Alligator mississippiensis: one gene and its partner. The protein of the gene in region 1 purifies or fractionates together with the protein of each later gene. This does not show direct contact. Links are inferred from orthologs where the notes say so. Each region holds a gene or a part of one and is shown on either strand. Other genes may lie near its edges. The genes, in order: NEUROG3 and C1QBP.

Region 1 (3,382 bases):
TGCATTGCAATCGGTTACTCCAGTTTAAAATTCACCTGACAGAACTAGGAGGCTTCTACTGAAAAATAATAGAAAAAACCAGCTAACTTGAATCTGAAGGCGCCTAAGCATCGGTCCCATGAGAGGGCGGGCGTAGGTCATTGAGCTACCTCGGGATAACTTTGCCTGCGTGGGGTATTGCTGGGAGCGGTAACCTGCTCCAGTGGCTTGGAGGTGTGGTCTGCCTTCAGATCCTGTGATTTTGCGAGACTTGAAGACAAATTTGAAAGCCCCACCACCCCAGCCTCAGGGCACTTGGCTGCTCCTTAGGTCACAGATGTGGTCCCTGAGGCTGTGTGCCTTAGGGCACAGGTGCGTCCACGCACCTGGAGGGCCCAGCAAGTTCGTGGCCACGCGGTCGCTATCAAAGGAGGGAGAGTCCTTCCCGAGGGGGCCGCTTTACAGCAGAGACGCTGCCCCGGCGGAACAGCGGGGCGGAGGCGCTGGGCAGAGATGCGGGGCAGGTGCATCTTCCCCTGGGACACGCAACTCCCCGGGAGGCACTGGAGCTGCTGGAGCGAGCAGTGGGGCAGGGCGCGGGCCCGGGACCCCCAGCCGCGCCAGGCAGGGCAGGGCCCGGGTCAGGGCAGGCGAAGGAGGAGTCTCGTCCGGGCAGAGGCCGCCCCAAGCTGCCTGGGCTCTGCCCGCCCGGCTCAGAGGCAGAGCCAGCCTAGCCCCTGGCTAGTGAAGATGCTGAGGCGCGGGGGGCCCAAGGGCTCCGACGGTGCCAGATCGCGGCGCCGACAGCCCAGTCGCGCACCGCTCGAAGCTGTTTCCCCTCCCTCAGGCGCGGGACCCCCCAGTGAGGAGGCAAGCCCGCAGCTCTGTCAGGCCCCGGCGGACAAGCGAGAGCGGCGAAAGGCCGCTGGGAGCCCGTTCCCCTCGAGCTGCCCCCGCCTCCCTGCGGCCGCTCGTTGGCAGCCCCCGGGTGGTGCGCCGCGCGACGCGGGGCTGGTGCGGGGCGCACGGAGATGCTCGACGGCGGGTTTCTGACGCCGCTGCCGGGGGCGGCGCTGAGACGCGGAGCCCCGCCGGAGGCCGCAGCTGCCGAGTTTCGTCCCTCCTGCGATCGGGGCGCCCGTGCCCCGCCGGCGGGCCAGCTCCTGCGGCGCGATGTCCCCCACCCCCGGGAGCTCGCCGGGCCCCGAACACAGGGGTCCGCGGAGCGAGACCACACCTGCCCATCCCTGGGGAGCCCCTGGGTGCACTCAGCCGGGCCCCTGCGTCCCCCCGCGACAGGGGTGGCTCCTGGTGGTGGTGCGGGGGGGGGGGGGGTGTTATAAAACGTGCTGCACCCGCCCTGCCCTGCCCACCCAGGGCGCGGAACAATGACAGCAGCAGGCCGTGTACAAAATAGAGATGTGCGTTGGGAGACAGGGCAATAAATACAAACAGCGGCGACGCGACTCATAATTTACACCCGGGTGCATGTCTTCTGCTGCTGCTGCTGCTTCTTGCAAGCCAGGCCGGGCCGGAGCTCAGCAGCGTCGGTGCCCCAAGCAGCCCCGCGTCGACGCCTCTAGCAGGAGCCTGAAAAGTGCACAGAGAAGGGACGAGGCCCGTTCCGTTTAAGGCAAAGCGGGTGAGGGGCAAGAGCTGGCGCCTGGAGCGTGGGCGGCCCCCAGGGGCAGGAGAGGGGGCGGCTCAGGAGAGCTGCGGGCAGGCGCGGGGGCTGTGCCGCAGGCAGGGCGCGGGGTAGGCGCGCGCCTCCTCCGTGGAGCCGGCGGGGCTGAGGCTGCCGGCCCGCGAGTCGGGCGAGCACAGCGAGTCCCAGTCGCAGGGCGAGGCGCTGCCGGGGCTGGGCAGGGGCAGCAGGCAGGCGCCGGCCGGGCCCGGCGGCTCGCGGCCAGGCAACAGGCTCTGGTCGGCCAGGCGCAGCGTCTCGGTCAGCGCCCAGATGTAGTTGTGGGCGAAGCGCAGCGTCTCGATCTTGGTGAGGCGCGCGTCGTCGGGCAGCGTGGGCAGCACCCCGCGCAGCGCGTCCAGCGCCGAGTTGAGGTGGTGCATGCGGTTGCGCTCGCGGTCGTTGGCCTTCATGCGCCGGCTGCGCTTCTGCCGGCTCAGCGCCGCCTCGCTGCGCGCCCGCCCGCGGCCCCGCCGCCCCCTCGGCCTCCGCGGCGGGGAGCCCGGCGGGCTGCAGGCGGACGGCGGCGGGGAGGCGGCGCCGTCGGGCGGCTGCTGCGGAGACATCCTGCGGGGAAGCGGCCGCGTCAGCCCCTGCGCACCCCCCGGCCGGCGGGGCCCGGGCAGCGCGGCGGGCGCCCGGGTCTTACCTGGCTGCCTGGTGCGGAGGAGCCCGGCTCGGACTGCCCGGAGCGCGGCGGCGGCACACGCCCGCCCGCGCCCCTATATGCGCGGCCGAGACAATGAGGCCTCCCCCGCCGCCGCGTGGCCCCTGCCACGCTTTATCCCGGAGCGTGCCTGGCTCGTTCCCGCCCGCCGCCGCCCAATCAGAGGCGGCGAGGCCGGGGGCCGCCACGCGAGCCCCGCACAGCTGGGAGCGCAACAAAGGCGCTGGCCGGCGGCGGGGCGGGGCGGGGCGGGGCGGCCCCTGCTCCTCGCCCAGGCACCAGCGCCTCGGCCCGGGCGAGCCTCAGCCCCCCGGGCCGAGCCGAACCGAGCAGGGGGCCACGGAGCCCGGCGGGACGGGTAGCGCACCTGCTCCGCTTGCTCCCTGCCGGCCGCTCCCTCGGGCCTGGCGGCTCCGCGGTAGCCCGGGCTAGGCAGGGAGAAGAGGGGCGAGGGCCGCCACCCCCCACCCCACCCGCGCCTCACTGGACACAGCCTGGGGTGTGAAGGGGCACGGGCTGGGCGCCAGCGCCTCCCGGCGGGACGGGACATCAGCGCGGGCCACTTGTGCGTCCCGCAGGCGCTCGAAGACGCAGGGCGGCCAGGGGCAAGGACAGGGACAGGGTCAAGGGCAGGGGCACGGTCAAGGGCAGGGCCGAGAAGGGGCCGACACCCGGCAGCGGCCCGGGGCAGGGAGCGGGCACCGCCACGGCCCCTCGGCAGGGCCTGTCCCCGGGCGGGGTGAGGGCCGCAAACCGCAGGTGCGTGGGAGCGCGCAGCGCGGGCGGCTGGACTGAGCGGCCCCGCGAGAGCGCTGAGCCCGACCCCGGCCGCGCACCGGGCGCTCTGCCCGGCGGGCCCGGCCTAGGGGATGCCACGGGCCTCGCCCTGCTGCGCCGCACCGCGCGGGGCCCGGGCAGGCGGAGCAGGGGTGCTCGGGGCCCGGCCGGCAGCAGGGACCGGAGGTCGAGGCTGCCTCGCGCCCTTCGGGGCTGGGGGGCCGGGGCCTGCTCCTCCCCGCGCCCGGCTCCCCGAGGCTTTCACAGCTGGGGCG
Region 2 (3,902 bases), on another chromosome or scaffold:
ACATGAGCCACCAATGCCAGACCGCAGCCAGCAAAGCCAACCACACCTTGTTGTGCATCTGAAGATGCATCTCAAACCAGTCCAGAGAGGTGATACTCCCCCTCTACGTGACATTGGTCCGGCCTCAATTGGAGTACTGTGTCCAGTTCTGGGCACCGCACTTTAAGAAGGATGTGGCCTGCCTCAAGAGAGTTCAGAGGAAGGCCACCTGCTTGGTTGGAGGGCAACAGGGCAGGCCCTATGAGGAGAGGCTGAGGGGCCTGAACCTGTTCAGCCTCAGCAAATGGGAGGCTGAGGGGGGATTTGGTGGCTGCCTACAAACACGTTAGGGGAGATCAGCAGCAAATAGGAAGGGCCCTATTTCCCCCAGCAGCACCTGGGGCAACAAGGAACAATGGCCAGAAGCTGCTGGAGAATAGGTTCAGGTTAGAAATTAGGAGGCACTATTTCACTGTTAGGGTGGCTAGGTTCTGGAACCAGCTTCCTAGGGAAGTGGTCCTCGCTCCTACCTTGGGTAAATTCAAAAAGAGGTTGGATGAACACCTGTCTGGGGTGGTGTGATCCCAGTGCGTGCTCCTACCAGTGGCGGGGGGTCAGACTAAATGATCTAGTCAGGTCCCTTCTGACCCCTAACTACTATGAAGTGCTCAGGGATTAGCGAGTTGGTTGCCCCAAACCACACTGGTGATTTAAACAACTACCAATACCATATACTGACTCTGCTCTCCCTTGTAACTAACTGTTGGAAGTCAGTGACCTTATAAAAAGATCAAGGATCAAGCCATTTAAGTTTTTGTGTGCACTGCAAGTTCTTAGTGCCATTGGTATCAGCCAGACATGTGAAGAGACGTGATCCCTGACTACTACAGCCAGACCAGTACACAGCTGTAGCGTAAACGCAGCTCATAGCACTGAGCTCTCCCTGATACGACTCATGGACAGGGTGGGGGCACCACACCAGGCTCTCTTTGCTCTATAGCACAGTAGCAAGGAGCTCCTTGCACAGACCTGGCCTTCATTACAGCAGGAAGGGAAGGCAGCTATAAGATCAACTACCTTCACTTGCAACTATAAAAAATTCCTCCTGCCCTGGCAGAGATTATGCCAAGTGGCCAAAAGCTTTTGCTACTGTAGGCCGGGCTTTTGCTACTGTAGTAATGGGAAAAAATAAAAGTAACAACAATCTGCATTATGCCAGCATTAAGCACCTTTGTGTTCTGAAGACCAAGTTAACAGTGTCTGCCCAAACACAACTGGGCAATGGCCTGACTTCCCCTCTACCCTACAGTGTACTAACTGAAAGGGAACACATAGGCTGTAGGTTTACCTCCTGTTCATCAGCTTTCTGTCCTTCTTGGGGCTCTTCATCAATCACTGGTGGGATGCTGTTGTTAATGTTGAACGTGACTGAAATCCTTTAACATCACAATAGGAAGAGTTAGTTGTACAACCCACATTAACTGTAACCCTACTCAAAGTTTCAAGTGCTGAACTCAAGATGCGAACAGGATTTGAAGTGTATTAAGCATCCCCCTGAATCTCCCCTGTACCTCATACAGCGCACTGCTCCCCAGTTTATGTGTTTTAAAATACAGCCATCTGCACCAAGTTTAAACTCCGTAAGTGCCCTATATTGACTAACAAGGATATTTTCAGTTTCGTAGGTTGAATTCTCTAGTTTTTCTTCTTGTGTGAAATGGTGGCATGAAGTTTTGGAATACACGGGATAGGAAACAGGGCAAAATTCTCCGTGACAAGCTCCCTTTTCCAAGAAAAGTAATGAGTATGAAACATCTAGCATTTCTCCTTGGCCATTTTTGTTTTCTCCTTGGTTGTGAAACAAACGTGACAAAAGCCATAAAGGAAATACAGAGCGCCTCAACCAGGGACGGGGCTGAGGAGGGGAACGCAACTAGGTTACAAGAAATACATAACCCCGGGGGACACTGGGAAGCAGCACTTAGTTCTTCATTAACATGCGCATGCCTCTTAAGCACATGTGCGCACCCAGCTTTATATACAGGGCTTTTTTTTTTGTTTTGTTTCCAGTTTGCTAACATCAAATAACATGAAACGCACAGATCCGCATCACTTACTTCTCGCCAGATACGTTCCGCAGCAGTTTGGCCTCGGTGCCCTGCACTTCCAGCTCCCACCCTCCGGACATCTCGGGCAGGGATTTGTGCTTCTGGATCTTCTTTTCTTGTTTGATCTCATCCATCAGGAACTCGGAAAACACTTTGTCCCCTTGCGAGGAACAGAAGAGGTCATTTGGGACAGGAGACATTTTGCTTCCTGGACCCGAGCTCCACCCCTGGCTTTCCCACCGACCCCCAGGTAAAAGAAGGGGAAGATTTCTGCGTCACCCTTCGCCGGCGCTGCCAGGCGGGGTGAAGGACTCAGAGGCTGCCCGCCCTGAGCAGGGTGCGGAAAGGCCCCAGGCGGGACCCGCTGCCCTGCAGCAGTGCAGGCCCAGGGCCAAGGTCACTCAGGCCGGAGGCTCACCCTCGGTGTGGAGACCGCCGCAGCCAAAGGACAGGCCGGGCGGGGGCCGCAGGAGCGCGGAGGGCCGCGGGCCGCCGGCCTCGCCGCAGAGCAGCCAGAGGGAGCGCGTGAAGGGGCGCGCGGCGGCGGCGGCGGCAGCAGGCGGGCCCCGCGGGAGGCGCGCGGCCGGGCGCAGCAGGGCGCGCGGCGAGCGGAGGGCGCCGGCGGCGGCGGAGCGGAGCGCTTGGGCTAGCAGCATGGCGTCTGGCGCGAAGCTAGAGAAGAAAGGCAGCGACACGTGCGAGAGGGAGTGCGGCCGGCCTGACCTCTGCCCCGGAAGCCGATGCCGCCAGCCGGAAGCGCGCTTCCTGCCCCGCCCCTTCCGCCTCCCGCCCGTGGGGCCGCCTGTTCGAGCTGCGCGCGCAGATACCCCGGCACGAGCCGACGCTCTGCAGGCGCTGCGTGACGGGAAACGGGCAGTTGTGCAACTAGTCGTTTCTAAATAACCCCAAACGTCGTTGAGAGACCGCCCCAACGACATGTGCTTTTATTTGACAGGCGTCACGTTTCTGTACGACGCCGGGGGCAGAGCTCTGCAACTCCCCGCTCCCACCGCTGCCCGGAGGCCCCCGGGGTGCAGCCGGCCACGGCCAAAATGCGCCCTCAGCGCCTTCGCCAGCCGTGGACAATACGGAGAAAGAGGCAGGGTCAGCGAGACGAGCGCCTACGTTTCGACAGGCACCCGTAACACGAAGTGTCACCCTTTGCGCCTGGGAAGAGACGGACGCGTGCTGCGACTCCGGGGTCGCTCGGGACACGCCGCGTACCTGGAGCGCGCCGGTTTACGCCAACGCTGCCCCTCGCCGCCAGCGATTTGCAGATTAGTTGGAACAAAGTCCAGGTTTTACAGAAGGATTGCTCATAGTTTTTGCGGACCGAGCAGAACAAAGCTGCTCCAGGACAAGCGAGACGTAGCCAAAGCTCGTGCCCAGAAAAGACGTTTTAAATGGGAAGCACAGCTCATCCCCCCTGCGCGCACAGCAGGCAGCAGCTTGTTGTTCCCACGGTTAATTAACGGTGTCAAAACTGGTTTGCAAATATGATCCCCATTAAAATGTAAGCCACCCCCGCCACACACTTTTTTCTTTTAAGTTGGATGTTTAAGAACGCAAGAGGGGACTAAACGCCGCATCACTTAGAAAGCAAGATACCACCACCACTCGCATTAAACTAAGCACGTTTTATTCCACAGTGACACTGCGTTTACAAAACTGGTCCCTCTCCCGCCCTTTTCGAAATCTAATCTGTTTTAATTCACCTCGGCCTAAAACTACCAACAGACTTCTGTTGAAATTGAAAAGCTGCCTCTCTCGGAGAGGTCCCGGTAGAAGTACTCGCACGGATATTGTTCAAAAATA

The links.
Region 2: the proteins of NEUROG3 (region 1) and C1QBP purify together in Homo sapiens (affinity purification with mass spectrometry; 3 studies listed by BioGRID and IntAct, counting the BioPlex papers as one, with this or other methods). This does not show direct contact. The link is inferred for Alligator mississippiensis from reciprocal best matches to the Homo sapiens genes NEUROG3 and C1QBP.

What each region holds. Positions count from the first base shown.
Region 1 is NC_081829.1:55,902,556-55,905,937, reverse strand, and holds NEUROG3 (neurogenin-3), read right to left. Parts: upstream 2,230-3,382; coding exon 1,684-2,229; 3' UTR 703-1,683; downstream 1-702. UniProt on the Homo sapiens protein: Acts as a transcriptional regulator. Together with NKX2-2, initiates transcriptional activation of NEUROD1. Involved in neurogenesis. Also required for the specification of a common precursor of the 4 pancreatic endocrine cell types.
Region 2 is NC_081837.1:15,046,986-15,050,887, reverse strand, and holds the start of C1QBP (complement component 1 Q subcomponent-binding protein, mitochondrial), read right to left. Parts: upstream 2,793-3,902; 5' UTR 2,744-2,792; coding exon 2,506-2,743; intron 2,248-2,505; coding exon 2,097-2,247; intron 1,416-2,096; coding exon 1,328-1,415; intron 1-1,327.